4 linked regions of the Arabidopsis thaliana genome follow. The protein of the gene in region 1 interacts with the protein of each later gene in a pairwise test. Each region holds a gene or a part of one and is shown in the gene's direction. Other genes may lie near its edges. The genes, in order: G1, AT5G07475, AT5G19570 and ENODL9.

Region 1 (8,670 bases):
ATAAAACCATTACTTACGAACTAAAGAAAATAAAAAGAGTGTGGAAAAGTTGTAATTTACGGCAATACCTTCAGCAAGATGCTCTTGAGCTTCGAGGCTGTGGCCACCGGTGCCACCTGGGACGACGGTCTCTCCTTGCTTCGCCTTCTCATCAAGCTCTTCTCTGCTCAGTTGCTTTGACGCCATTTTTTGAAGAAAAAAACACGAACGATATGTAATTAAGTAAGTTGCTTTTAATTTGGATCTATGTTCCGACACAGATACGGACGACGTAATTATTCCTATAAATAGAAACGTTTGTGTTCCAAAGGAAACAAAAGGAGAGAAAAAGTGAAGTGCTACGTGGAAGAGAAGACGCGGCGAGACTAGAAATAATGGGCTTTACGGAGATGACACGTTGATGCTTACTCAGTCAACTTGCTACAGTTATTAACGAGCTGCTTGACACGACTCCGATTAATCTTAATCCATTTTCTGTTTCCCCCAAGAAATCAAGATAATTACCCACATTTGGGATTTTTTATAAAACTGTTTTCCGTGTTAGGTCTTTTCAATATCAGTTAGATAGTACTATTATTTATCTATTTGAAATCTAAGTGCAATATTTCGGATAAATATGTTTTAAAGTTAAAAGTTTTATATTTATTCACATCATAAGAAAAATATAGGTGTTATTAGAAGAAGAGATTTATAAATCGATCACACATAATAACTGGGAAGAGAAGGTAGCTTCGAGGATTAGTTGGTTTACTTGTCGACAAAGTCATATCTACCATGTAATAATTAGGTCTTTTTCAAGTTTTGAGTTTGGAGACATTTATTTGAGTTTGACTTTGGTCTTATTATATGCTTGGGCTATTGTACACGTTTGACTCATGCTGATTAGAGTATGTATAGTTAAATATAATAATTAAAATGTTAGAATCTGGTGTGGATTAGACTTTCGCGACATTGTTGAAAATTTGTGAATGCATCTATCTAAAAGTTGGTTTAGTGGAGTTTCTATGTGCACAACTGAAGTACATCACTATATTTGGACAATATTGAATTATATTTGAATTTATTGTCTTGAAGAATAATTTGCAACATTACATACCAAATGTTGGCTCTCTTACGGAGAGCGTATAAGCGCCACTTGACGTGGGCTTATATGGGCCCGGTTAAGGGTAAATGTTTAGTGGCCACAATTCTGAAACAGCTTCCCTTCTTCGGCCCATACTGGAGTACAAAAGTAACGCAATTAAGAAAAAGCGTTACAGGATTAATCCAAAACGGCATCGTTAGAAGAAGAGAGCACACATAGCGAAAACCCTAGTACCTTTATTTGAGCCAACACTTTCATTTCTCTCCTTCTCCACCAGTTTTCCCCCAATCGCTCCTCCTTAAACCCTAACATTTTTGCTTCCCCTGTTTCGATTCTCGAGAGTTATCAGAGATGAGTTCGGACGATGAGAGAGACGAGAAGGAGCTGAGTCTTACCTCTCCTGAAGTCGTCACCAAGTACAAGAGCGCCGCTGAGATCGTTAACAGTAATACACCCTCTCTTTCTTCCTTTCTTGTTTTAAGTCCGATTTGGATTTAGGGTTTTGAAGGTGTAGCTTTATCGAGTATTGATTTCTGTTGGGTTTTCAATTGCAGAGGCGTTACAGGTTGTTTTAGCTGAATGCAAACCAAAAGCTAAGATTGTTGATATCTGTGAGAAAGGAGACTCTTTTATTAAAGAGTGAGTATATCTCAATTTGTTCTTAATGTAGATTCGACCTTGGATTACTCTTAGATATTTATGTGTTTGTTCTTTCTTCTGTTTTTGTATTAAAGGCAAACAGCAAGCATGTACAAGAATTCTAAGAAGAAGATTGAGAGAGGTGTTGCGTTCCCTACATGCATTTCTGTGAACAACACTGTTGGTCATTTTTCACCGCTTGCTAGTGATGAGTCTGTGTTGGAAGATGGTGACATGGTTAAAATGTAAGTTGTCTTCAAGTAATACCTGTTTTTAGATGTTTCTGTATGATTCACCTGTGTTATTTCTGATGTTGTTTTGCGTTTCTCAATTGCAGCGATATGGGATGTCATATTGATGGGTTCATTGCCCTTGTTGGTCACACACATGTTCTTCAAGAAGGGCCTCTTAGTGGGCGTAAGGCTGATGTTATCGCTGCCGCAAATACTGCAGCTGATGTTGCTCTAAGGCTCGTACGTCCTGGAAAAAAGGTATCATCAGTTTTACTCTTACATTAAACTTGAAACTATAGGCTTTTGGTACTATAACTGCCTCTTGAATGATTGTCAAGGTTTTACAAAACCCAGATGATGAACACTTAATAAATGGCTATGGATTATTATCCATATGATGCTTTTTTGTCATAGTTACTCTGATGGGATTTTTCTTATTCTGATTTTTAGTCTGATCCCTCGTTGGATTTACTATGAGATGTTGGAACTTTGTCTAAGGTTTTCCTCTCTTGGTCTTGCACGATGCTTTTTTTTTTTAGCGGACTTCAAATGTAAATTGTTTTGGGAAAAGATTTCTGGATGAAGACCGTAATTGTTATGGATTCGCATCCAAATGAGGCCGTAGTTACTCTGATGTGGGAAAGTTCTTTAAAATAAAGTTTCTTGCTACGAGTTTGTAGTTTCTTGTTTAGTACTACAACATATTGCAATCAAGACATTGATATTCTGTTTTTCTTATCGCAGAACACTGATGTAACTGAAGCTATTCAGAAGGTAGCTGCAGCTTATGACTGCAAAATTGTTGAAGGTGTTCTTTCCCACCAGCTGAAACAGCATGTGATAGATGGAAACAAGGTTGTGCTTAGTGTATCCAGCCCTGAAACAACTGTTGACGAAGTGGAATTTGAAGAGAATGAAGTCTATGCAATAGATATTGTGGCAAGTACTGGTGATGGCAAGGTAATTTCTTTTGTTTATCGCATCCCGATCACTATTGGTGAACCTTTGTCTATTGCCATTGTTCTCACAATCTTTGACTTTGCAGCCAAAGCTATTAGACGAGAAGCAAACAACTATTTACAAGAAAGATGAAAGTGTTAACTATCAGTTGAAGATGAAGGCCTCCAGATTCATAATCAGCGAAATTAAACAGAACTTCCCCCGTATGCCATTCACTGCAAGGTGTCTTTTGTACCTTCTGAAGCATTTTATATTCCTTAAACTATTATCTCACTTGCTAACGTTACCTGAGAGTATTATCAATACAGGTCACTGGAGGAGAAAAGGGCACGGCTTGGACTTGTGGAGTGTGTGAACCATGGTCATTTGCAACCATATCCTGTTCTTTACGAGAAGCCTGGTAAGGATGATGAAAGGGTTTTGAATCTATAAACCTCTTTTATCTGAATCTTGATATCAAGGCTCATGTCGTTTTGGTTTTCTACCAGGGGATTTTGTTGCTCAGATTAAGTTCACAGTTTTGCTGATGCCAAATGGATCAGATAGGATCACTTCACATACACTTCAGGAACTTCCTAAAAAGACCATCGAAGACCCTGAGATCAAAGGGTGGTTAGCTTTGGGCATCAAGAAGAAGAAAGGTGGTGGAAAGAAGAAGAAAGGTAAGAACTTAAAATAAATTTCCAGACTTTTACCTTATATGACGTGATCCACATGTTGATTAAAAAGGTTCAATTTGGTGTTTTGCAGCCCAAAAGGCGGGAGAGAAAGGAGAGGCTTCAACAGAGGCTGAGCCAATGGACGCAAGTAGTAATGCTCAAGAATGAGTAGGAAGATTTGTCTTTGTTTCTTTTAAAGAATTTTTGAAACTTGAGGTACCTCTTTCGTTGTATGTTTGGGTTTCAAGAGAGTCTCTTCTTAAACAAAAAAAAACAAACAATAGTTTACCACCTTTGTGCATATTTTTGCACAAAGCACTTTTCATCATCATTTCTTTGCTTGTCCTAATCTTATCTCATTCTCTAATCAAAAATACTTATCTGGTTTCAGGCTATAACAATAACTCTGTTTAGAAACACTTGTTACCAACAAACTACTCTTTGAATGTGTTTACGTGGTAAGGATTTGATCCCACAGAAGAGAAATATTTGTGACAGAAGAAAAAAACTCAGCTCTTCAATAATCGAAGCTTATACAGATTTTTGGATTGGTTGATTTTGAGATTGTAACGAATAGTAATCAGAATTTCACTTAAGAAATTGTGATTGAACCCTCTAAACCACAGAGAGGGTTCTTGACGTGGTCCATAGTTCTTCAGTGGGGCGGCTTGTGGCTTCTTTTTCATTTTTCCAGAAAACCCCATAAACCTCTCGCTCTCGGGAATTTGATTGATTCCCACGAGGAAAAATCAATCTTCCCGGAAAATGGCAGCTAGGTTATTGTTCCGTCGAAGTTCTCAAATCCTCCGATCAATTCAACGAAATCCTCAAATCTCATCGTCATTCGAATCACCACCTTGCCCGATTTTTCACTCATTGACCACCGCCTCACCAGATCCATCGCGATTATCATCCTTAACCTTCCTCCGATCTCTCTCCATCGCTCGTCGCGGTCCAACACGTCCTAAGAAAATCGATATCGGAGCCAAAGCGCGTCAGATGCAGAATCGCCGTTTATGGACCTACGCGCTAACCTTCAGCTGCATCGCCGGATTCGTAGTTATCGTCCTTAACCAATTTCAGGATCAGCTTGTCTTCTACCTAACGCCATCAGACGCTATGGAGAAATTCGCAGAGAATCCAACAAAGAACAAATTCAGACTCGGTGGTTTGGTTCTAGAAGGTAGCGTTGCGCAGCCGGCGGCGTCACAGGAGATGGAGTTTGTGATCACTGATCTGATCACTGATATTTTGGTTAGGTATAAAGGATCTTTGCCGGATCTGTTTAGGGAAGGTCATTCAGTTGTGGTTGAAGGATTCATTAAGCCGTATACAGATGAAGTAAGGAAGGAAGTTTCTACAAAACCTATTTCGAAGAAAGCTAGGAACCTCGATTGTTTCTTCTCGGCGACTGAAGTTTTGGCTAAGCATGATGAGAAGTATATGCCACAGGAAGTTGCGGCGGCGATTGAGAAGAATAAGAAAATTATTGAAGCGGCGGCGACTGAACAAGCTGCTGAAGTTGCGGCTTCTTAGATTGGTATAAACTTCATTCTTTTTAAGTTAATCAAAATTTTCCCCAAGTTCGAGCTTTTGGTGAGTATTGTTCATCTTATAAGGTTATATTTGATTATAGTTTCTGGAAAAGAGTAGGAAGATTGGAATGTTATATTCCTGGAAAACAGAGATTTGATTTTTGAGTCTATTTGAGAATTAAGTGGAGAAATGTGATACACTATACAATAGCTTTGTTTGATTCCACAAAGCTATAAGCTAATCTACTTTCTTGTTGTGTTGATCAAATAAAGAACACTTTGACGAGGGATCAAATATGCTGCTTGATTCATTGTGTTGTTGGATGTTTTGTTTGTTGTTGATGTGCACACAGATTAGAGAAGCTATGTTTTGTTGCTGCACACAGATTAGATTGATCTAGTGAATCTTATTAGCTTCATCAGGTCGTGGGTATATAATTGTAAACGTATCACCAAAGTTGTAGCTTGTGTGACCTTATTCTTATCATGACTAGGTACTATAGCCAAAAGAGTTGAACATACAGGTCTTTCAGAGCTTCCTCTTAGTTGTTCTGGAGGTTCCAAGCTCTTTCTTTGTTGTTTTATAAATATGGGTTGAGCTTGTTGACAATCTTGAAGATGGTCATGCATTCCTTTTATGCATCTTATGTTTCAACTAGGCAATTCTGGCCCTGGAGATTTCAAGTTTGTACTTTCTGAGTCGATTAGGTGCCTAGTTTTTGCCTCTAGAATCATGGCATTGGCTTCTGTTTTGGCACTTCTCTTAGGCTTGTTGGTTGATAACCAACTACTAGTCTACTAATGTAGCTGTAGTTTGAAGTGTTCCGCAGTTACGCTATTGCTTTTGCTTTTTTTAAGTGCATCTTTATATATGCATCAGTCTCTCATTGTATAGCAAATTTATCGTGGGTGGTATATGATTCAGTCAACAAAAACTGACTATCAAGTATGGAACGAGTGGTATATGATTGAGTCATCAAAAATACTGACTATCAAGTATGGAACAAGAGCATTACGATATTTGTCACTACTATATTCGATTGCTATTGTGTGCTTGGTCCATTTTGAATATGGGACAAATCACCATTACTATACTTGCTGCCCTATACTAACTAGATTATTCCATATTCCTCGTAGATAGTTTTTGTTTTTTGGTTCAGAGAAAGTTCAGATTTTAGGCCTATAAGTTCTTTTGGTTGGGGACCATATCAAGTTAAATCTCTCACTATATGCATTGTGGCGGTTCGGCCGACCTGTCTAAAATTGGGCTTGTTCAAATCCTGCCTCAAATCCTGCCAAAGCGTGAGTTATATACATATACATTGACACTGAATCATTCCATCCAGGGCCGGTTGGCTGGATCCAAAATCAGTCGTTACCTATTTTTGGCAATCTTAAACTTATTGATTTTTTTTTTCTGACGTTTCACAAATCATCATCATATGTGAAAAACCAAAACATCTATATTAAGAAGAAAAAAAATATTGTTACAATTTCTGAAAATATTTGGTTCATTTAGTCCTTAAAAATTCTAATTACCAAAAAAGACAAATATATAACAATTGAAACACATGTGTGTTATCAGGAGAATTTGTATGTTTTGAGGAGGTGTGCATCATCCGTCTATCAATACCCTGACAAGGAAAACCCTAATTTTTTTTGGCCCAAAGGGTTTTATACTTTAATCTCATACTCCGATTCATTGTCGAAAAACGATGATGCATAATTCAACCGAAGAATCGGAATGGGAGGTGAGACCTGGTGGTATGCTCGTCCAACGAAGAGACGACGCCGCTTCCTCCGACCACAAACCTCTCCAGGATCCCGACTCTGCTTCCGCCGCTTTTGCTCAAACCATCAGAATCACTGTTTCTCATGGCTCATCGCACCACGATCTTCATATTTCTGCTCACGCCACTTTCGGTAACAAAACTCTCAGCTCCGTTTCTGATCCATCGCCTGAAAATTCCAAATAATCGAAGCCTGAGAGAATTTAGCGTGATTCATTATGAAATTTTTCTTGCTCTATTTAGTTTTTGTTGAAGTTGTGTTAGTGTAGTTGAAGATTGATATGTTTAAGCTCGAATGTGATAACTAGGGGATGTGAAGAAAGCTCTTGTTCAGAAAACTGGATTGGAAGCTAGTGAATTGAAGATCTTGTTCAGAGGAGTTGAGAGAGATGATGCTGAACAATTGCAAGCTGCTGGTGTTAAGGATGCGTCTAAGCTTGTTGTTGTTGTTGAGGATACGAATAAGAGAGTGGAACAACAGCCTCCTGTGGTAACTAAAGAGATGGAAAAAGCTATTGCTGCTGTTAACGCGGTTACAGGAGAGGTCGATAAGCTCTCGGATAGAGTGAGTTTTTATAAGCCTGTATTTCTTTTGGAGATGACGGAAGGATTGTGCTTAAGCTAGTTTTTTTTGGTAATTAGGTTGTTGCTTTAGAAGTTGCTGTGAATGGAGGGACGCAAGTTGCGGTGCGGGAGTTTGACATGGCTGCAGAGCTTCTTATGAGGCAGCTGCTCAAATTGGATGGCATTGAGGCTGAAGGGGACGCTAAAGTACAGCGTAAGGCTGAGGTTAGTTTTCTTGCTTTGTTAAGCATGTTTACACGGTAAGAGTGTTAATAGAGTTGGAAGATATATGAGTTGTGGTTTGTGTTGGCAGGTACGTAGAATCCAAAACTTGCAGGAGGCTGTGGATAAGTTGAAGGCAAGATGTTCAAATCCGTTTGTGGATCAGAGCAAAGCTGCAGCTGTAAGCACTGAGTGGGAATCGTTCGGAAACGGTGTCGGAAGCTTGAACCCTCCTCCGCCAGCTTCGCCTTCGGCCAATGTAACTCAAGATTGGGAGAAATTTGACTGACATTTTAGTACTGCTACGTTGCCTTGGAAAAAAATGCTTATTGAAACTGTTTATCTTTTTGATTATTGTTAAATATTGGAAAACGACCATCGTCTTTATCTTCTAATGTATAGATATATTATATATAGTATCGGAAATCTACATCTCTGTACGTTATGTTGGAATAATCCCTGGGAATAGTCTTTGATGTCTCTCAGTCTCTGTCGTGCCTAATTGGCTTATGTCGTAGTACTAAAGATTATGGCTACGAGTTTTGGAGACACTTTTGCATATGTGTTTCCATGTTCTAGTAATCGGGAGCTCAAGTTCAATTTGATGATAGCGATAGTGTTGCAAAAATGATTTATGTTTACTGTTACATGTTTCAATCCTTATAAACTACAGCTTCGAGGGAAGATTGCCTCAAACTGAGAAGTACACACTACAAGCCAAATAATGCAAAGTTAAGGTTAGTTTCATTTCAAGAGTACGATCCGTGCTTTTTGGATAAAAAATACATTCTTACCCAAAAACTAGAAGACATTCTTAGCTGTCTCACCCACATGACCATACGTTTCATTCTCAATTATATGTTCCATGGAATTATATTTAATCTATATAATAACATTCTTGTGCCATCACATAAACTAATAATCCACTCAGCAGTGATTAGACTTAATCATAGCTTAGCAGAGATTTAATTACGATTACTTCCT
Region 2 (5,507 bases), on another chromosome or scaffold:
ATAGTGGGTACGATTCCGGAATTTGAGTCACATGGTTTGCTAGAAGGCGGGACGACGTAACAGTCAGGTACATACGGTAAACTCCTCTCTTGTGCAGAATTCCCCATTTTGAATGTGCTTGAATCCTCACCTTTCTCCATTATTGGTATTTGAATTTGAGTGTTGAGAAATCGGTTAATATTGTGAAGGGATAACTAAAATGAAAGTGTGAGTGGCTCCTCTATATATAAGGTTTGTAGGCTTGTAGTCGTTTATTGATATTTCGGAGTTATATATTAAAATATGACGGTCGAATACTAAATTATTATTCTTCCTTTTTGGAATATCTAGAGCATGTGTAACTGTCAATTGTTTATCGTGTACCAATAAGAAACTAAACTTTATTATCAAAATGATAATATAATGAACATCCATATGTTGTACGAAATGTATAAGAATGTCCAAATTCATATATGACGAGGGATATTAATAAGATGTTGGGATATAGTAGGAAGTAGGAACACTAACATGGATTTAATTTTTAAATGGAGACTTCGATCTCATTCATAGTCCCAACTACTAAAAAACAAAAAGAAGCTTTCCGCAAAAAAGCATCCTCTTGTCCGGATTTCAAGCCTTCATAAATATGTTGGACACATATGTGAATGCATGTACAGATAAATTCGATATATATGTCGTTTGAGTTGTAACAATTCTGTAAAAATAATAATGAAATTGTTATATACGGTCATGCGTAAGGTCTAGGTAAAATGTATTGCGCCGGGTTCCTTCATGCAATGGGCATTTATCTTCCTTTGGGAAAGACAAAAAAATGTCTGATGTCACATTGTCACTGACATTAAAATGAGAATTTTCAATCATAATTTAACACAACTAGCAATTAAGAAATAATATTACATCGATTTTTCATCGAAATACAACTACCTAGCTTCTAGTGATATACAGTATTAGTACTATTTTTCGTTGGGTATATTAGTTAATTTATAAATACGTAATACGTAAATAAAAGTTGCAAACAAAATGTTCATCCTAGAAATTATATTTTAGGACAAAAAGAATTGTTTTCTTGTACATGTTTTAAAAATTCGACTATATTTTAACTTTTTATCCCAAAAGGCTAAACCATATATCTAGTATAATTTTTCGATCATACATGTTCTAGTTCTGATGCTCCAACAACTATAAAAAGTGTTACAAGGGAAATTCTCTGGACGCATATTATTAGGTAGGTTTGGTAAAGAGAAACACTCAGGATTAGTCGAGGAGTTATGGTTCAACACCCCTTCAATGCCAATTCCAAGCCCTCTGCAAGTATTTTCGAGAAAAGGAAAAGTACATAACAACTAATATCACCATTCCACAAGATCATATATAAATACAAGCATTATTTACTGGCCATTAAAATCTTCCCTATATTTGTATGTTGTGCAATCAAGAACAAAAAATAAATATGAATTACTGCTTCAATATCTCCATCAAGATTTAACCATTTTAGGGTTGTGGACTTTAACTAACAGCATATGAATCATATGAATTGTGAAACACGAAAAATTTGTTAAGAACAAAAAAAAGGCTATAGGGAACAAAGCAGATCATATATGTTGTGGTGGTTGTGAAGTTAGGTTATCCACCAATGAGCAACCTTAACCTATGCCTTATATAAAAACATATATATTTCCATAATTCCATTCACACATATGCATATAGACAACTATAGCAATACAAGAAAATTAAACGCAATTTATTGAGAAAATACAAACAGCGTGCACTATGAAGAAGACGTCGAAGATACAATTTCTTTTCAATCTCTGCATCATATTTGGGGTTGTAGTAATAAGAAGATGTAACGCAACGACATACTTTGTAGGAGACAGCTCCGGTTGGGACATAAGCTCCGATCTCGAGTCTTGGACTTCAGGCAAGCGATTCTCTCCTGGTGATGTTCTAAGTAAGTATCTTTGATCATGTTGGCTTCATCCAACTATATATATACTACATAATTAAAAACTCAAATTAATTTACAGTTTCCCTTAATGAACTAATTAGTCTAATTAATTATGTGTATAATGTTTTTGCAAGTGTTCCAATACTCATCGACGCATAGTGTATACGAAGTGGCTAAAGACAACTACCAAAATTGCAACACAACAGATGCGATCCGGACGTTCACAAACGGGAACACGACCGTTGCTCTTTCCAAACCGGGAAACCGGTTCTTTGTATGCGGTAATAGGCTCCATTGCTTCGCCGGTATGAGGTTACTAGTCAATGTTGAAGGCAATGGCCCATCTCAGGCTCCCGTGGGATCTCCCCAAGCCGCCACTTCAGGGATTCTTCAACCATCTTCTAAAAAGAATAACCCTGCGACCGGAGTCGCTAGCTCAGCCGCCCGTTTTGTTGGCGACAGCGGTTGGAGGGGTACCATGGGAATTTTTGTATATTTTATGGTTTTTGCTTTTCCATTCATATGGTTTTGCTGATTAAAAACTATCTATAATAAGTGTTTTCATGTATATGTGTATTCATATTTGCCCTATAATGAGTGAGAGTATTTATTTGTTGAATTTCTTTATTTTTGTTTGAGTTCATGACCAAATTAAAACCTAAATTTTTGGTTCGTTATACAAATTTCGTTTTGTTTGCTCAGCAAATTTCTTACAAAAATGACATGTAAACAACGTTATGCTTAAAGTTATTAATCAATCAATGTATAATAAAAAAAAAGGAATTAGATTCTTTGACTACATTGAATTTGTATTTGTTCGATTCGATAGCGGAAAATTCAAAAAATAACCGATATCGGTTTATATTTTAGGTAATTTTATCTGGTTCGGTGTAGTAAATTCACCGTTTGACCGTATCTATATCACAGATGATTCACTGCGATTAAAAGTTGTGGTTATCACTATCTAATCGTGATCGCTACCAAAACGCAAACGCTAGTTACCGGAAGACACGTCTTGAGTTTCGCAGCATCTCTCTCCTCTCCTCTGTTCATATCTCTCTTTAGAAATTTCTCAATGAACATACTCAACAGATTGGGTTTGGGATCAAGTGGGCAAACCAATATGGATCCTTCTCCGATCGCTCAGGGAAATGACGATGACACACCGGCGCCGGGGAATCAGTTTGCCCAATTCGGAGCTGGATGTTTCTGGGGTGTCGAGCTGGCGTTTCAGAGAGTCCCAGGGGTGACTCAGACCGAGGCTGGATACACCCAAGGGACCGTAGACAATCCTTCATACGGAGATGTTTGTTCTGGTACCACAGGCCATTCGGAGGTTGTTAGGGTTCAATATGATCTTAACGATTGCACCTATGAGTCTCTGCTTGATTTGTTCTGGTCTAGGCATGATCCCACCACTTTGAATCGCCAGGTATTTTTGGATCCAAGAGTTGAAAGTTTTAACCTTTCAAGTTCGGGGATTGAGAAAGATTCTGTCTTTAGGATTATTGAATCTATTGGGATGTGCCTGAGTCTGTTGTGCTTTGGGGATTTCTTGATTTTTCTCAAATCTGATAGCTTTCTGATTTTCATCACCAGTCTTTACTTTGAAACTTTTTAAATTTGGAACCTTGATCATCTAAGTAGAATATGAGGAAGGAAATGATATTGAATCTTGATTTTTGTTGAATTATGAGGCTTGAGTTGGTAACTTTGGTCGTTGATCTTAGTATGATCCAGATTATGTAGTAGCTCTGTAATCTCTCCCCTGTTGCTCCCTTTTTAATTGAGGTAGAGATACGGATTTCAGAGAGGTTCTTCTTGTTCTGTTCATGATCATTGATTAGCATTGGATTTCATGTTTGTTTATATTGATGTTAGTTTGGCTTATCATTTGTCTTGCATCTGTGCGCAGAGAACTATAATCATATGCAAGTTTCTGCTAGTTTTGTTTGAGAAATTCACTAGCTTATAGTCAAATTATCTCGTTGGGGTTCATAGCGAAGTATTCTCAAATTCTACGCATGTACGAAACCAAATCGTAAGCGGTCTGTTTAGGTTATATGGTTTTAGCAATTTCTGTTGTTGCAAACTCGGGACAACTATCTCGATGATGTTAACCTTGTGTATTATGATGAAAAAAAATCCTATTTATGCTTTTTTCCGACAATTTACATTTGCATCTTCTCTGACTTTCAATAGCATATACTGACCAGTCTTATGACTGTTTATCTCATGAGTTTGAATTCTCTGTGTTTACTATCATAATTTTAGTTTAAGTACTCAGTTTTCTCGGCAGCCTACTTCCATGCTAAATTGATACTTTGATTTATGACTTTGCTGTGATCAGGGAAATGACGTGGGAACCCAATACAGATCTGGAATATACTTCTACACACCCGAGCAGGAGAAACTAGCCCGTGAGTCACTTGAACGTCACCAGCAACAAATGGAGAGAAAGATCATGACTGAAATCTTGCCAGCTAAGAAATTCTACAGAGCTGAAGAGCATCATCAACAGTATCTGTCAAAAGGTGGGCGGTTTGGCCAAGGGCAATCCACTGCCAAAGGCTGCAACGACCCAATCCGCTGTTACGGCTAATAAGCTGCTTTCCTCTGTCCCTCTCCGAAAACAGAGGACTTAGCATCAAAGGACTTGTGTGTCAAATAGATTGTGTAAAACTTGACTAAGTTGTTCACACGCTATGTAACTACTTCTTTGGAATTTCATTCGCAATGTTGTAATATTGATGTTATACTCTATAAACATAAACCAAATAATCATTGCGATCCTTACTAGATCTAAAAAGCCATCAACATGGTAAATGTAGCCAACGAAAAAAAAAAAAAAAAAGAGTGTTGGAGGGCCATTCCTTTATTAGAGTAATGATTCTCTAGTTTTGATTGCATAAACAAACGTGCCCACCAACCTACAAGTTGCATACTTGCATGATTGTTTATTATTAAGTCATCCTTCATAGTTCATATAATAGAGCTTAGAACTAGCTAGTTGAGTAATTGACCCAAAAAAAATGTGAACGGTATCAAAAGTCATTTCATAAACACATGTTTTCCAAGTTTTGATCAATATTATATCTGACCAATCTATAGATTGTCTTTCTCAAATACGAATTGATCTAAATAATTTCAGACCAACCAATTTTTTTGAATTATGTTTCCAAATTATAATGATGGTTGTTGGATTTTTTTTTTAAATAGATAGTTGATACAGTATTTCTATATACAATAAAAGAAATGACGCGTAATATATCCATTATTCATTAACAATTTGACCAAATTATAAATGCTACACATAGTATTGATTGAATGTATTTTTCTTGTGTGTCAAATACTACTTACATTGAAATATGAATATTCCTATTTAGCGATGATTTTTAGGTGTTAATCTCTGACTAGCTTCTTTATATATATAAACGAGCTTCCCGAGGTCTCATCATCAAACAATACACTTAACAATGGATTCTTCTCTGAAAACTCAGGAACCTCAAGTAGTGGAAACTTCTCCTTCTCCGGTAGCTCAGGAGCCTCCTCAAGTAGCTGA
Region 3 (8,448 bases), on another chromosome or scaffold:
TACATTTTTTTGCTGTTTCTACAAATAAAATGGGACAAAAAAAAAGAACACCGTTTTTGTTGGCTTATATACTATGGTTTTTTTCTGATGGTACCATATGTTTCCTCATGTCTTTTGACTAAAGATGGTTGAACCAAAACCAAAGTGAGGATTGTGACATTGAGATCTACCGTTTCTAAGAAAATATTGGTTACTTTAATTTGCCACCAACAATTGTTATTTTGCAGAATTTTCAAATGTCCTGTTATTTTATTTGCTGAGAGATCCTTATAGTTTGGTTCTCGCTGGAAAAAAATAAGTTTTGGGAAGTTTGGCACACCTAAGAAGAAGTATGATTTGTATTAGAAAAAAAAATACTTGTCGGAATACTCTCTAATTGGTCCATCTCTTAAAATATCACATAAACATAATTTTCAAATGAAGCAATCGATCGTTTGGAATTGTAAGGGACATATAGTGAACATGAAAGATAAGAAAATGTAAAACGGAATGAGGTTATATGGTTTTTTGTATTTAATTAGTTTTCTTTTGTTTCTTTAATGAAAACTTGTTTCAATGTGTCCATTTATAGGTAGACTCATTTGTTTAAGCCGCTTGATAAAAAAAAATGTCAATGCAATATTTATACATCAGTGAGTGGATGAGAAAATGGTCATAAACACCACTTTTCAAAGTGATAAATTACACGACGTGATTAAACGATTAAAGCAGTATTATAAGATATTGAAATCAAATCTTTTAAATTAGTAGGATAAACAGAAATGTTTAGACTTGGTAAAGAGTCGCCGTGTTACATGCCTCCATGCTACTGTTGCACTAACGAATTAGTCAAAATCTGATTTTAAAATTCGATTGTCTCTCTTTTTAAGTTATTAAGTTTGTAAATTCCAGCTATATTTGATCCATAGTCTTACTTAATTCGAGATCAGGCTTAAACAATAACGATCCACAAAACATAAATTATCCCTCTCCAAGTTTATAGCACATAGGATTCTAACTCGGTCCGGCGGGTAACTCTAAAACATCATTTTTCTAATCGGTTGAGCCAGTCACATTTTTGTAGACATATTTTATTTAGAAAATGTTCTTACAAGCTCATTTAACGAAATGTGGATTAGTTCAAATAACGAACAATTTTCTTACACGAAATTGTTCCAGTGAATCAAAACCTGAGCAGCGTGAGGTAAAATTCTAAACAAATGAAAGATAAAATAAATTAAGGAAAAGTCGGAGTATCTTTAACCGCCCTTCCACTATTTATCTTTTGTTTGTTTTTTGAAAACATGGACCGCACGTTGTCTCTCCAGCCCTAGAAAACTACTTCAACATTTCTCTGTTTCATTCATTTTGCACCAACTAAAAAACAAAAACATAAAACAACTGGAAAGAAAAAAGTACAGAACATAAAGTAGTTTTGTTTCATTCGGTGGTGAAAGAACAGAGACAAGGGAGAGCTAAAGGACTAGTTGCTTGATCTGTACGTCTCTTTTGCTTTCTTCTCTTCCATTTTGTGGATTTCATTTGCTTTGTTTTCTTTTATATAATACGATCTGAGACAAGAAAAAAGAAGAGAGAAATATAAAAAAGTGTGTGGAGAGATATAAATTGAGAGGAGTAAATTGGGAATGGTGCGGACATTAGGACGTAAACTAAGCTGGCCAAGATCTTTTAGTTTTAGAAAGATGTTCGATGGTCGGAACTCTGGACATTCATCTTTCTCTTCTCGTGGGGATGGCATGCATACACCCGAGCACGAACTCGCCGGACATGCTGCACCATCCACTCGTAGAGGCAAGCAAAATAGGAGATCAGGTAACATATTAGTGCAAGTTTATTTGGTAAATGGTAATGGCAAAATTTTAATTTAATGGAAATGAAAATTTTATTTCGAGATAATATAATGGTAGAAAGAAAACTTTAGGTGAAAGAATTTCTAAAAAATATCCATTTCATATTTTCGTAAATATATCCATTGCACCAATAATTAATTAATGCTCCAATTAATGATAATGTAGAATCTCTAAATCATTTATTACCCGCTTATATATATTGACCGAAATAAGAAGTCCTCATTTTATAAATTATATATAGACAGGAAAATGATATTATTGCACGGAAAAAAATTATGTGATCCGCAATAATTAATTATTGCTAAATTTGATAACCACATAAACGAATAAAATGTTATCCCAAAACCACAATGAATTAGATGTATTAATATCTTCATTAGATGTATTGTATATAGCATAATGAATTGCATTTAGATTGCATTTGTGTAAGATGCATGGGTTGGATCTGAAAATCAATTGGTAAGAGTAGAATTACCAATATCGTTGTATAAAGATGAGTTCTTTAACTAATATTTATATATTTTTGATAACTATTTAATTAATATTATTCTATGTTGGATTCCTTACATAATCTTTGTATTGATATCTGTTTCAGACATGGAAGTGATGAAGGAAAGATTCGCAAAACTGCTTCTTGGAGAGGACATGTCAGGCGGTGGGACAGGGGAGACCTCTGCGTTAGCTTTGTCAAACGCCATCACCAAACTCGCTGGTAAACCTTTAACACTACTAATATGATTAAAACATTAAATGTCTAATAACGATTTGAATGGTTAAAATAAGTCACAAACTAATTAATGTGGCTTTGGTATTGGCATGCAGATTCGATGTTTGGAGAGCAGATGAAATTGCAGCCTATGTATCCGGAGACAAAAGAGAATTGGAGGAAAGAAATGGGTTGGTTATTATCTGTGATTGATCACATTGTCCAGTTTGTTCCTTCTAGACAAATGGGTAAAAATGGCCAATTCACTGAGGTGAATGCATGCAACTGTTAGTCATTAATTACGTACATATATAACAACTACTAGTCTACTAGTGACGATTTTTCTTATTAACCCTAATTTTCTCCTTTGTAGATCATGGTTACAAAACAAAGAGATGATTTGCTGACGAACATTCCAGCTTTACGCAAACTTGACTCGGTTCTTCTCGTGAGTTTAATTACTACTTGATTGTTTCAACCGCGGTTTCAACGTTTGGGAAAAATTAAACCATTATATTATATCAAACACCACATCGTTTCAAAAATATTTTGTTTGCAACAATATCCATGACACTAGGACAAACTACTATATATACTACAAGTCATAGTCATCTTTGCAAATTATAAAGATAAATATAACTGAAAACGTCATAACACCAAGAGTACCATCTCATTAATTAATTTCATATAGGAGTGCATGTATTATAAAATGATCATGATATATATATATAACAAACAAAAATAGATGAGTTGTGACCATTTATCATACTAATGCAATTACTCATTTGGCAGGAAACTTTGGACAACTTCAAGGATCAGAAAGACTTTTGGTATGTGCCAAGAGATATGGAGGATGCAGATCACAATGGAGATTGGAGGAGGGATGAGAACTGGTGGTTACCAGTTGTTAAGGTTCCAACAGATGGCTTGTCTGAGGAATCACGTAGATGGTTGCAGAATCAGAAAGATTCTGTGGCTCAAGTCCTTAAAGCCGCCACGGCCATCAATGCTCATGTATTGTCTGAAATGCACGTTCCTGAAAACTACATTGATTCCCTTCCAAAGGTTACTTACTTCTTCTTCAAAAGTGTTCTGTTTCTTTACAATTTCCACTAAGCTAGGAAGCTGATGAGGCTGTTGGTTATGTAGAATGGGAAGACAAGCTTGGGAGATTTTCTTTACAAGAGCATAACAGAGGAGAGCTTTGATCCTGACTACTTTGTCTCTTTCTTGGATTTGTCAACGGAACACAAAGTACTTGATCTAAAGAACAGGATTGAAGCTTCCATGGTGATCTGGAAGAGGAAGATGTGCCAGAAAGAGAAAGACGGGAAATCTCAGTGGGGATCCACTGTTAGCTTAGAGAAGAGGGAGCTTTTCGAAGTCCGAGCTGAGACCATTTTGGTTATGCTCAAACAACAATTTCCTGGGATCCCACAATCCTCCCTTGAAGTCTCCAAGATTAAAAACAACAAGGTAACATAACATAACAAAGACTAAACAAACATCAACAAAAATGTAGTGAGACTGAGTAAGAGTTTGTTGTGATTTGATCTTACAGGATGTTGGACAGGCGATTTTGGAGAGCTATTCAAGGGTACTAGAGAGTCTTGCTTCAAAGATAATGTCAAGAATAGAGGATGTTCTTGAAGCCGATCGGCTAGTTCAAAGACAGTTGATGGGAGAGGCAGAGACAAGATCAGAAAGCGAGGCAGAATCAGAATACGAGGAAACTGAAAAGGTGGTTGCAGCGGAAACACCAAACTCGAGGAAACTATCAGACTTCATAGGGTGGAGATTGTCATCTGATACTAAGAAGCATAGTTCAATGAGTGATATAGAATTCTTCCACAAAGTTGAGCAGGAGAAGGAGAAGCCCATGATGAAGTCTCCAAGAGCTCTACCGAAGAAATTTTCATATCTAGCAAAGTTAGAGAACATGAGAAGCCCTAGTGACAGACACTGATAGTGAAAAGAGAAGGTAATAGAACAGGGCATAGAAGAAGAAAAACACAAAGAGAGTGAGAGAGAGAGAATAGAAGAAGGTTAAAGTGTGTGAGAATGTACATATATAACAATGCAGGCATTGGTTTTAGGATTTGGACATGAGACTTGGTGTTTGATCATGATTGTTGCTTGTTTTGACTATTGCTTCCTGTTGTTTTTTCTAAGAAGGAAGTGTGATTCAGTGTGTAACAATATTTTGGTATTTTTGTTCTTTGGTGTTTTGTATTGTAACGTCTAATCTACAACATTGTTTCCTAATGGATTTTGAAGCTCATTGATAATGACTAGTAGTGTAGTAGTATTGTAATGAAACATTATTTGATGACGACATGTAATTTAGTGGTTTGTGATAATACCATTGATCTGTGTTTACCATCCGGACTATTCAGGTATTCGGGTCCGTTATTTGGATTTTTAAATTTTTCGGATCGGGTTTAGTTCGGTACCTTTCGGGTTCGGGTCGGTTCTGGATATCCAAATAATTCTTCTTTTTGATCTCCTTTACTCAACATTTAGTGGTTAAAACACAGAACAACGGAAAAGGCAAATCGGGATCAGCCACCGGCGATGAAGGAAGACATGGATAAGATGGTGGCGGTAGGGCTCGTATGGGGAGCCACCAATGCTCTGATCCGTCGTGGCGCTCTTGCCTGGGATAAAACAAAGTCTTCTTCGACAACAGAATCTCATTCTCCTCCTCTTCAGATCCGCCGCAAAATCATGATTGCTCTCCGCGACTGGATCAATCTCCTCCTCTTCTGGCAATACTCAATTCCTTTCCTCATAAACCTCTCCGCCTCCGCCACATTCTTCGCCCTTCTCAGTCACGCTCCCATCTCTCTTGCCGTTCCGGTGACTAACGCCACAACCTTTGCCGCAACCGCCGCTTTTGGGATCCTTTTAGGGGAAGAAACTCAAATCGGACTTGCTTTGTTAGGTACGAGCTTTATTGTATTTGGAATTTGGCTTTGTGTTCTGTGAAATTCGAATTTTGTAAAACCGTGACTCTGTTTCTGTGAGATCTATTTTGCGAAAGAACTATTTGTGTACCATCTTTTGAGAATTTTAGCTAACTCTCTGCAATATTATCGAAGGTAATTAACATTACTAGTCAATGAAACAAACAGTGACTTGCAATGAACGCATCGAATGATTTATACGCAAAACCGAACTAGTGAAGAAAGAATAGAGCCAAAAGTAATAATAAAAGAATTTCTCCAATACAAAATTTAGTCATAAAAACTCACCGAAAAGGTTTACATGAACGGAAAAGTTTATAGAAGTGAAAGAAAACACAAGTAATTTGGATCCATTAATGGTGGCATAAACAATATATATAGAAGGAAAAAAAAACTGATATTATGTGATTGTTTTATATTAAGATGTTACGGTCATAAGACAAAATGGGTAAAAATTATCGTCATTAGACGACCTGAATCCATTCTCCAGTGCTGGGAACACCTTTGTAGATGGCAAAGATAAGATAGTAACCCGGTGGAGCGATGTTTCCATTTGGTGGTGCAACGGCCTGGATATCGTAACCGGCACCAGCAGGTTTGACATTATTGACACCCAAGATGAGCATCCTCATGTTCATTGAGATACTGTGTGTTGTGAAGGCAGGGGCTAACATGGTAACCTTGAGATTTCCCTTGGTTGCTCCCTTTTCTTTAAGGTCGACCTTCACGTTGAAGAATTGTCCGTATTTGACCTGTTTTGGGGTGCCGGTGGTGACGATCTTTGGCCTTATGTTGGCTAGAGCCGGGTCGAGGTAAGGTGGGGAGAATTTCTCAACGCGAAGCTCCGTTGGGAACTCAACGTTGTACTTGTAACCGTCGTTGGTGTTGCTGCCACCGACAAGAACCTTACCGTCTGGAAGAATGATGGCGCTGGAGTGGTACATACGTGGGATGGTGGTGGGCTTGAGCTGTCTGAAACGCTTGCCACGTGCAGCATGGGGCTTGTACAAGAGGGGAGCAAAGGCAGGGTCTTTACCATATCCCCAGCCTGAACAACCACGTTTAGCTCCGTTGACTAGAAGGATGTCTCCGTTAGGGAGGATGACAGTATCACTCATGATTCGTGGGGTTGGCATCATCTCCGTCTTCCATCGTGGCTTTGCGCTGTTGATCCTTATCCTGGCGCAGTCTTGTAGTGCTGGTTCGTATATTTTTTTACCAGCCTTGTAATACGCGTCTTGTTTGGAACCACCACAGACGAGAACCTCGGCTGGGATGACCTTGGGGTTTTTCACGTAAAGTTGGATGGGGAGGAGTGCGGAAGAACCTGATCCCGGGTAGTTACGGGCACCACCTGGGAGCTGAGGGAACTCCTTGATGACTTGGTTTGTTTTGGGGCTTAGAAGGATGGATCGGTTGTTAGCGAAAATGAAGAGGTTACCGTCGGTGTTAAGCCAGACGAAAGGGTAAAGGTTGTTTTCTTCCGGGTCGTCTGTTTGCCTGAGGAGCAATGAGTCAAAGAGCTTCCTGTTGTTTTGTCCCTCCTCAGGAATGTATTCGTAGTTCAAGGCGTCTCTTCCACCAATCACGAAGAACTTTCCGTCAGGGAGAGTTGCTTGCGTTGAGTACCATCTCTTCGCGGCCAATGCCTGAGGGTATTCTTCCCACTTGCAGTTTTCACAGCTGGATAGGTACCTCGCGGTGTTGGCTCCTCCTCCGTATCCTCCAGTGCTCACCAATGTACCATTTACGGTCAGACCTCCGGATGAGCACCATGTATCGGTGGAAAGCTATCATGAAACATGTGAATGCAAATATTTAATTCAAGTTCGTATAATATGATTCTATTTAATGAGAAGAAGATAACCCGTGTCTAGGCCTAGGCCCAAAAAAAAAAAAAAAAGATGGTGTCGTGAGTTTGAACATACCCCTAGAGGCTTAAGGGCGCCGGTGTTGACATCCATGAGAATCGAATGAGCCCAACAATCGACCTTGTTAGTCTTAGCGTCCACGACATGGCATGGTACGCCTGGAGGCAACTTAATCTTTGAAATTCTCCAAATGGTGGCGTCATAGTACTGGACCTTGTTGATAACTGGCATAAGGATCGCATGCATCCCTGACACACCCGAGTTTTCCAAGAAGAGCTCCCACTTACCACCCCAGGTTGTCTGAGCGTCTAAACCGCCGCCACGCTGCCTTCTTGCGGCTTTTCCACCAACTGCTCCTGCAGGCTGTGGTTTCGCAACCTTGACAGCCTCATTGTCCCTAAAGCCGTTGTTGAACCCAGGGAGGAACGGTAGAAACGGTAGAGGGAAGATGGCCTCGGACACAGCAGCGAGCATAAGGACAGATATTGTCCATATGACTCTTGTTGAGGCTTTCATTTTCTAATTTTTTTTGATTTTTTTGTTTTCTTTTTTTTTCTTCCCCTGTTTTGGTTGGGGAAATAAGAAAATTGGATCCCAGGCTTATATTGATTGTTGTGATGCCTGAAGAACAAGCTCTTGTCTCTGCGTGATTTATAGGTGTTGTTATTTCACTTACGTTTATTATTAGCAATTGCTATTTTTAAATGTGTGGTAAGAAGACGTCTCCCCAAAACAGCCTATAGATTTGTGGAGTTTCTGTGATAGAAGAAAACATTGGTGTTTCGTATCTGTCTCTCGTGCCCTTTTTTTTACAATGACGTGGTCATGCAGACAATTTCTTAATTTGATGTCATAAAGTTAAGGACCATTTCCTTACAAACCATCATGGGGCTGATCCAAAGGGTAAAGGATTGCATAATACGTACACATAACTATACATATTACACATATTTTGAAAAGTAATAAAGAAACGTGATTGGCAACAAACTCTCAACTAACATAATTAATAGATGATTAACACATTCCCAAATGAGCCAACTTAACAATAATGACTA
Region 4 (8,494 bases), about 12 Mb from region 1:
ATGGAGCATGCATGTCATTTTTGTTGACTTCTTCGTCAATTTTATAAAAATATATCAATGGTTTACGATTTCAGTTTTCTGATAGTAAATTTTAAACTTTCAAATTTTAAAGTTAATAGAAAGTTTAATAACACGAGATATATTTATATCGAAATGAGTTATATGGCGGATTTTTTTAAAATAGATAATTAAAAATTTAAAATATCATTGATCAGATACTTTAATATGGGTTTAATCTTCATTATTTTACTTTGTTAACATTACCAATATTATACATATCAAAACAGATTGATATAATCAAAATTATGTGAAATCAAAATTATCTCCCTATATACCGCAAGTTAAATCTTAGTTTTTGATATCATGAACAAAATTATCCGTCATATGTATGTAAAAGTTGTTTGGCCAATTCAATCTAGAAGTTTCCAGGTAAATTGAACAACTTGTCTTATAAAATATTTTAAAAACTGTTACCACATAAACTGTAAATAAAATAAAAATCAGTAAGAAAATTTATGTAAGAAAAACAAAAAAAAAACTGAAAATTTACTAAATTGATAATACTACATCCATATTCGCTTTATTCAAGAAAGCTCAAAAACTCTGAACTGAAAACAAAGAACTAGTATCCAAATTATTCTGGAACCCACCGAGTAAATTTATGACCAGAGTTTGTTTCATATCGAAAATAATCGAAGCGGTGGTTATTTAGTTAGGAAACAAATTTGCTCAAAAAAAAAAAAAAAAAAAAGTTAAGCAACAAATATGAAACTCTTGTGTCCAAAATTAGCAATTGCCTTAACACACATTCTTAAATGTCTCTCCGCGTGACCACCAAATTAAACCAGAGGCTCATATTAAGACATCTTCTTTTCCAACCATCTTCGTTTCTTTGCATTAAACTTTTGGATTTTGATACTTTTTTACAGATTTTTCACATTAAACCTTATTCGTTGATCAATCTTCGTCTTTGTTTAAAAGGCTTGGTTGATTCCTAGTTTTTTTTTCTCTCTCGCTGCCTTGCGGTTCCAGTAATCACAAGGCGGTGGGGAAGAAGAAAAAGATTGATAACGATGAGGGCTATTGACGTTAAAACGGGGATGAAGATACCTTGGGACGTACGCTATTCATTAAGTCTATTTATTTTCTTATCATCAATTCTTTTTCTTTCCAACGGCCAAGATTATGGAATGCCGGGCGAGGATGGAGGAGGAGGAGCTGAGCCACCGCCGGAGATGGCACATTGTAACGGTATTTTCATGAGCTACAACTTTGGTAGCCGTGAAAGAGAGTACCCGCACGTGAAGAATGTAACCGCCCAATCATGGGCGTTTAAATCGACTGCGATGATTGTAAACGCGGGTAGGGAAGAGCTTAAGGGATGGCAAATGTTCATAGGGTTCCGTCACAAAGAACTGATCGTTTCCGCGACTGGTGCGACTCCTATGGACGGAGATTATCCTCTAGACGCGAGCAATGGAACCACGTTCGTTGGATCGCCAAACATGGATTTAAAAACCTCTATTGAAACAGCCGGTGATTTCACTCAGATATCTGCGAATATCGAGATCACAGGAACTCTTTTTGGGGTTTCAAAAGCGGTCACGCCCATGCCAAGAACTATTAAGCTCACCAACGATGGTTGGGAATGTCCCGCCGCTAAAAGAAAAGGTTAGATCAATACTCAAATCGTTTCAAACGCAACTAATTTATATTTTTTATCATCAAAATATTATTTATAGGGAAATTATGAACGCAATGCAAAACGTAAAAAAAAAATTGCGTTTGCATTTGCAGTTTATGAATCAATTTAGGTTAAATCATTAAATATTTACACTCCCTAATATAATTGTCAAACAAAAATAAAAAAGATGTGGTGAATGTGATATTCAAAACGGTGTGTTTTGTTATCTTGCGCAGGAGGTAGTATGCACGTGTGTTGCAAGAGAAACCCTAAGATCAAGAACAAGATCGGACTAAAGACAAAGTTTGCACCGAGAAGGTACGGTGACCTGAACATAGTCTACGATGTTCTGCAATCATTCGACAGCAACTACTTAGCCCAAGTGACCATCGACAATGATAATCCTCTCGGGCGGTTAGACCGTTGGAACCTGACTTTTGAATGGATGCGAGGAGAGTTTATAAACACTATGCGAGGAGCTTACACTCATAAGAAAGATCCATCGGAATGCCTTTATAGCAAAGCTGGACAGTATTACAAAGACTTAGATTTCTCCCAGGTCATGAATTGTCAGAGAAAACCAGCCATTTCCGATTTGCCTCCTGAGAAGAAGGAAGATAACATGACAGGAAAGTTACCTTTCTGTTGCAAAAACGGAACTCTCTTGCCACCTATTATGGATCCTTCGAAATCTAGATCTATGTTTCAATTGCAGGTAAATCATCTCTTTCGTTTAAAATATGTTATGAGATCGTAGAAATCTTCGGGTTTTGAAGTTTTTGTTTTCTCTCAATTTGTTAGGTTTTCAAGTTGCCTCCTGACCTAAACAGAACAGCTCTATACCCACCTCAGCATTGGAAAATCGACGGTGTTCTCAATCCTCAGTACAAATGCGGGCCACCGGTTCGTGTTGACCCGTCTCAATTCCCTGATCCTAGCGGTCTACTGGCTGTAACCTACGCCATCTCCAGCTGGCAAGTGGTCTGCAACATAACCAAGCCTAAAGCCCAAGCCTCAAGATGTTGTGTCTCTTTCTCTGCATTTTACAACAACTCTGCAGTTCCTTGCAACACTTGTGCTTGCGGATGCAATGACATCGATACCGACACTTGCAATGCTAACAGTAACCCGCTCCTCCTCCCTCCTGACGCTCTCCTTGTTCCGTTCGATAACCGAACCTTAAAAGCTAAAGCTTGGGCTAAACAAAATCACATGCCAGTACCAAAGAAACTTCCTTGTCCAGATAACTGCGGAGTCAGCATTAACTGGCACGTTAGCACGGATTACAAAAATGGTTGGACCGCAAGGTTAACCGTTTTTAATTGGAGAGATTTCGCGTTTGAGGATTGGTTTGTGGCGATTGATATGGGAAAGGCAGGTCCAGGATATGAAAACGTTTACTCCTTTAATGGAACACGTGTTCCACCAAGCAATCGAACCGTTATCTTCCAAGGCTTGCCTGGTATGAACTATCTTGTAGGTCAAGTTAATGGAACAAATCCATTAAGAGACCCTCCCGTGCCCGGAAAGCAACAATCTGTCATCTCCTTCACCAAGAAAAACATCAAAGGACTGAATATTCCCGAAGGCGACGGTTTCCCAACAAAGCTTTTCTTCAATGGAGAAGAATGTGCGCTTCCAAAACATTTCCCTAAGAAGAGCTCAGGGCATAGACGCGGTATCAGTGTCTCAATGTCCTTTGTTTTCGCAACAATCGCGGCTTTTGCACTAATGATGGATTAATTACTGAGGAGATAACTATACTTACCATTCTTGATCAGTTTTTTTGATCTTCAAATTCTTAAGATTGGTGTTTTGATGATGTTGCTGAACAGAGGAAGGATCAAAAGGAGCAGATTGTTATATGATTGATCTAAGTTGGAAAAATATTGACAATGTTGTATTAATACTTTTGTTTGGTCTATAAAAGTATTAAAGTGTATGTTGTTCTCTAGTAATCCCAAAATCTCAGATTAGTGTTGGCCTTTTTTTTGGCATGAAGAAGATCTTAGTACTTTGATTTGATGTTTTTGTGAAATCTCTCTTCGTTCTTGAAGATCTTTATCCGAAAAGTAATAATAAAATATAACACAAAGATTCTGAAGCAAAGAACAAAAGCCATTGACAGAAGAAGCAAGTCACATGAGATTCCAAAACTGAAACACTTCTGGCATTTATGCTTTGCTTAGAATTTGAAAAAAGACAATAAAAAGCTTCTCTGCAACATTTCCTCAAAATCAAAAAGCATCACCTTTATATAAACCCATTTGCCTTTCATCATCTCATATCAAACCCTATACCACACTAGATTCACCTTCACCTTTCTAAAATCTCTGTTATTTAGCTTACGAAATGGCACGAAACCTAAAGAGCATGATGCTTTGTGGGTTTGGTCTCTTGTGTTTTCTTATGATCGTTGACCGAGCCTACGCTAGAGAGTTTACGGTCGGTGGTGCAACAGGTTGGACCGTCCCTTCTGGTTCTCAAGTGTACAGTCAATGGGCAGAACAGAGCAGATTCCAAATTGGTGACTCTCTGTGTAAGTTTTTCACACTGTATTGATACTATTTGATTCGTTAACTGCAATCTTAGTTTCTTCGCATATGACACAAATTTATACAATGCAGTGTTCGTCTACCAATCAAACCAAGATTCAGTGCTCCAAGTCACAAGAGACGCTTACGACAGCTGCAACACGGACTCACCAACCGCTAAATTCGCCGATGGCAAAACTTCTGTCACGCTGAACCACTCTGGGCCATACTATTTCATTAGTGGAAACAAAGACAACTGCAAGAAAAACGAGAAGCTTGTGGTCATCGTCATGGCTGATAGAAGCGGCAACAAAAACACCGCATCATCACCGCCGTCCCCAGCCCCAGCTCCCTCAGGAGAATCCGCTCCTTCTCCACCTGTCTCGGGAACCTTTGAGATGACCCCAGCACCGACGCCTACTACTTCTGAAGACACTCCAAACAGCGCAGCTTCTTCCTTATCATTTGTCGCTGCTCTTCTTGGGGCTGCTCTAGCTTCCACTCTATTCCTACACTAAGAAGTTTCTCTTTTGTCTTCCCTTTTCATTCTGTATCGAGTCTTTTCCCTTTCCCTCTTCATCCAAGTTTGTGTCAATTGGTGTTTGTTGTTTGATTTTTTACCCCATTTGTTTTTCATGTATATGAATAAAAGTTCTACTCGTGTGTATTTTACTGATGTCATATGTATATAGTAATGGAAGGATAAGAAAAACCAGGCGGATTTTAATAGAACAAGAACCATAAAGAAACTAAGATTGTGTCAAACAAAAATTCTCTCTTTTTTTGAGTTTTTCTGTGTAGATCAGCTATTCAAAGTAAACAGTCTGAGGTTCTTCTATGGTTTTATATATTAATGGAAAATTCTAACCTCCAGTGGACGATCAAATGTTTTTCCCAAGTTCGACCTTTTTTACCAGTCTTACTGTATTGTGAAAAATCGAATCTAGTATTCCGGCAACCTGAAAAAATCCACATGTAAAATCAGAAATGACCATTGAATCCATGCGGGTATGAAGACGCAAGGTAACTGAGAAATTACTAACCGTGAAAACACCACCAATAATGGCACACAGATTTGTGATGAAGTGTGAGAAGGACTTCGGGTTTTCGGTTATTAAGATCTGCAAAAACAGACCAACCAAGGAGTAATTATAAAGAGGAAAGTATATATATTGTGACATTTTCGAGAGATAATCTCTTGTTTGTGTAAATGAGGACTGAACCTGCATAGGAGAGAGCTCAAAGTGAAACTTCGCAACGGGTAAGTAGTAAGTCTGAGCCACGCTGCTGTGAGCGGTGTATTCATATTCCTCTATCAGTGAATGTTCTTGACCGGATCTTCTTGTAATGACCTCTGTTTTGACTGTTTGAAGGTAGTGTTCGATCTGTAGAAAGCATGTTGAAAACAGTTAGATGAGAGCCAGTAAAAGAAAATTTGACGATTGTTCAAGACTCTAAATTCCTATGAAGGTTTCTGGGACTTACAGTGACATTGGCACCAAACTCATGTTGATTTATGAATGCCTTTCCATCCAGCCTGTCATGGCTTAGGCCAAGATATGGCAACAATCGCTTCATATCGGTCAGCAGCCTAGGAGAAATCATCCTCCCAAACGAAAAATGAGAAACAACATGCGACATGTTCATTTGAGAAGAATCAAATGAATGAGCTCCTGAATGAGCTGAGATCACGAGATTTCCTGGAACCTGAAACATACAAAAGACAAATTTCAGTACATGCCACAAATCAATTACAGGACATTCATTCAGTGTTCACTTTTCAGTCCGAGGTTTACCTTCTTTACACGTACATAACCTTCAACTCTACAACCTCCTGTAACTGGTCCCTTTTTAAGATGTTTTACAGTATCATTGGATTTTCCATCCAAAGCCACCTTGTGAGTCTCCGGGTGGATAGGTGCGACCAGTCCCTCCACCATCTGGAAGAAAGAAAATCTTATATGAACTTTTAGACTGCTTTCTGTTGACTCAAAACGTAGCACAAAGATATGCTGTGCATGTATATAATATTTAATCCATAGACAAACTAGACGTTTTTCAATAACTAAGTGACTAATACACCACATACACATAAATGTGAATGTTGGCTCATTTATTCCTGATACTGAAACGAAATTTGGATTTGTCTACCTTAACTATACTGTCTGTGTCCCGATCTCCATAGTAAGATTCATGTTCGTGGTGTCCATGGTCCTCTCTGGAAACATTGAAACAGGTACACTTTCATAAAATTATTTACACCAACAGATATATGGTCTATTAACCTAAAGGAAGTTAGAGAGGAAAAGACGAAAAGCAAAAATTTAAGATTTTGAACAAATTTACGGTGATGACTTCACATGTGTCAACATTTGACTGTACCGAGAACACAATTAGGAGACATAAACTCGAATTTGTCGCCACATGGATACATAAGGTTAAGTAGAAGAAATGACGAATTGTGTATAACTAAGAAACATCATATCAGATGTTTTCTCACCTAAGGTCACTGCCTTTGCGGAAAATACGAATAGATGGATAGCCTTGTATGTGATTCCTGAAAACACATTCCACGATTTATGTTAAGTCAAACGACATTCACTGCTCCCCTTGGAATTGCATCCTTGAACAGCAGGAATTAAAAAGGTGCAAACACAAATTCTTCTCTTCTTGGAAACGACTCATTAATCAAATAAGAAAAACAAGAAAATGGAGGAAAACATCAACTTCGTAGTACCTCTTACATAGCGCAGGTTCTTCCGTGCAATCAACATTTCCTAGAAGAACACGGCCATCAGCTTCAGGATCATATCTGCAGCAGAATATTAACATGAAGATGTTTCAGAAAGAACATTATCAGCCAGCGGCTTAAGAATATCACAACTTAATAAAAATGCCGAAGATTCTAACACAAACCTTTGTTTTATTATATTAGCTGCTTTCTCCCATGAAGGTTTCTGAAGCAGATAGTAGAAAATACAAAAGAAACTCATCATAACCAAACATGAACAACTTTTTCAATGTCAAACAGGAATTGAGGTACACAATACCCATAAAAGCTACATAATATGAGCGTATTATTCAACAAAAAGTTTATTGTCATCTAGAATTCGTAACACAAAATAGCAAACCCTATACCCCTTTAGCACAAAACAACAGGCAATATGAAGAAAGTAAGTTTCCCTATAAAATGACATGTCTATGATTCCACATATCGTGATTGAATATATTCACAAATAACAGTCAATAACGAATTCAGGAAGATTCTTTCTCACTCGGTCAAGCAGGAAAAACAAGTTATTATGAGTACATCCCCAACTGGATCATTAGTGCTTGTATACCAGAAGAAAAGTAAAACTTCAGAAAATTGGAAAGATTATAAGCATAAGTAATTACCAGACGATTACTCCAGTAGCACCATGGTGCATTAAAGTTAACAACCAATATTGGAAAGCTGCATAAAGAAATTCAATTTTTGTTAATCGATATTCAAACCATCAGACAGGACTCTTATGCATGCACAATAAAAAAAGAAGAAGCTGCCTACTCACTGATGTGATAATGCTTCAAAACTAGCACTGGTCAATGGTATAGCACCATCAGGAAACTCTTCCTTAGTTTCTTCTCCATGGTTTATGTTATGTAATGCAAGGCCAGAGTGGAATTCTGCGCCGGTGGACCTTAAATGTGGATCAATTGGAAACTTGCGAACTGTTTTTGTTATATTCAACCTATTCTGAAAAATTAAACATCAGAGAAGTAGATTTAGTTTTCTGAGGGTATATATATCATAACTCCGTTAAAGGCGCTCAGTCTTGCTTTTAGTATAAAACATAGGATGTACTGCACAACTGAAACGGGGACTCAGGGATTAGGTGATACGGTTGAAATTTCAACTACATGATTAAAACTTTCCAAACAATTTTATTCTTGTTTCATTACAGCCGGACAGCATTATTAAGTTTTTCCTAGCTTTGATAGCGCCAATTACTAATAAAATGGAATCAGTAAACATTGGATTAAATCCATATCATCATTGCACAACCAACTCAACATGCCAACACGAATAGTCTATCATATATCACATAAGCAAAGATACATTCTCTGATACTGAAGAAAGTGTCAAGATTTAAGCTTTTCCTTTCCTTTTGCATTATTGCTTTTTGAATGATAATCACAAAACATTTATAGAGAAATGCATTCTAACAGTGGGACTGAGAGTTGTGAGTAGAGAGACATACCGTTCCCAAGACATCGCTCACATCAACGGATGCAA

Evidence for each region.
Region 2: the proteins of G1 (region 1) and AT5G07475 interact in a protein complementation assay, tested with the Arabidopsis thaliana proteins (one large-scale study listed by BioGRID).
Region 3: the proteins of G1 (region 1) and AT5G19570 interact in a protein complementation assay, tested with the Arabidopsis thaliana proteins (one large-scale study listed by BioGRID).
Region 4: the proteins of G1 (region 1) and ENODL9 interact in a protein complementation assay, tested with the Arabidopsis thaliana proteins (one large-scale study listed by BioGRID).

What each region holds. Positions count from the first base shown.
Region 1 is NC_003074.8:19,206,334-19,215,003, reverse strand, and holds G1 (transmembrane protein G1P-related 1), read left to right. Parts: upstream 1-4,154; 5' UTR 4,155-4,340; coding exon 4,341-5,111; 3' UTR 5,112-5,489; downstream 5,490-8,670. Other genes in the region: EM1 (Stress induced protein), read right to left, coding at 69-186; ATG2 (metallopeptidase M24 family protein), read left to right, coding at 1,436-1,529, 1,639-1,723, 1,819-1,968, 2,061-2,214, 2,701-2,916, 3,002-3,138, 3,225-3,316, 3,378-3,578 and 1 more; BAG4 (BCL-2-associated athanogene 4), read left to right, coding at 6,826-7,033, 7,209-7,465, 7,543-7,689, 7,778-7,975. UniProt on the Arabidopsis thaliana protein: Heme-binding chaperone that may be involved in cytochrome c maturation in mitochondria.
Region 2 is NC_003076.8:2,361,800-2,367,306, reverse strand, and holds AT5G07475 (Cupredoxin superfamily protein), read left to right. Parts: upstream 1-1,701; 5' UTR 1,702-1,770; coding exon 1,771-1,948; intron 1,949-2,079; coding exon 2,080-2,480; 3' UTR 2,481-2,601; downstream 2,602-5,507. Other genes in the region: KUOX1 (KAR-UP oxidoreductase 1), read right to left, coding at 1-140; PMSR3 (peptidemethionine sulfoxide reductase 3), read left to right, coding at 3,021-3,377, 4,296-4,547; PMSR2 (peptidemethionine sulfoxide reductase 2), read left to right, coding at 5,422-5,507.
Region 3 is NC_003076.8:6,601,609-6,610,056, forward strand, and holds AT5G19570 (uncharacterized protein), read left to right. Parts: upstream 1-4,955; 5' UTR 4,956-5,130; coding exon 5,131-5,544; 3' UTR 5,545-5,713; downstream 5,714-8,448. Other genes in the region: ROPGEF10 (ROP uanine nucleotide exchange factor 10), read left to right, coding at 1,626-1,812, 2,446-2,562, 2,673-2,827, 2,930-3,004, 3,349-3,621, 3,706-4,032, 4,118-4,522; AT5G19580 (glyoxal oxidase-related protein), read right to left, coding at 5,987-7,312, 7,451-7,909.
Region 4 is NC_003074.8:7,182,996-7,191,489, reverse strand, and holds ENODL9 (early nodulin-like protein 9), read left to right. Parts: upstream 1-3,968; 5' UTR 3,969-4,036; coding exon 4,037-4,223; intron 4,224-4,311; coding exon 4,312-4,736; 3' UTR 4,737-4,968; downstream 4,969-8,494. Other genes in the region: COBL10 (COBRA-like protein 10 precursor), read left to right, coding at 1,074-1,671, 1,921-2,399, 2,486-3,427; PDIL5-3 (PDI-like 5-3), read right to left, coding at 5,100-5,177, 5,262-5,339, 5,442-5,603, 5,704-5,925, 6,015-6,158, 6,370-6,436, 6,719-6,775, 6,956-7,030 and 4 more. UniProt on the Arabidopsis thaliana protein: May act as a carbohydrate transporter. Mainly required for reproductive functions.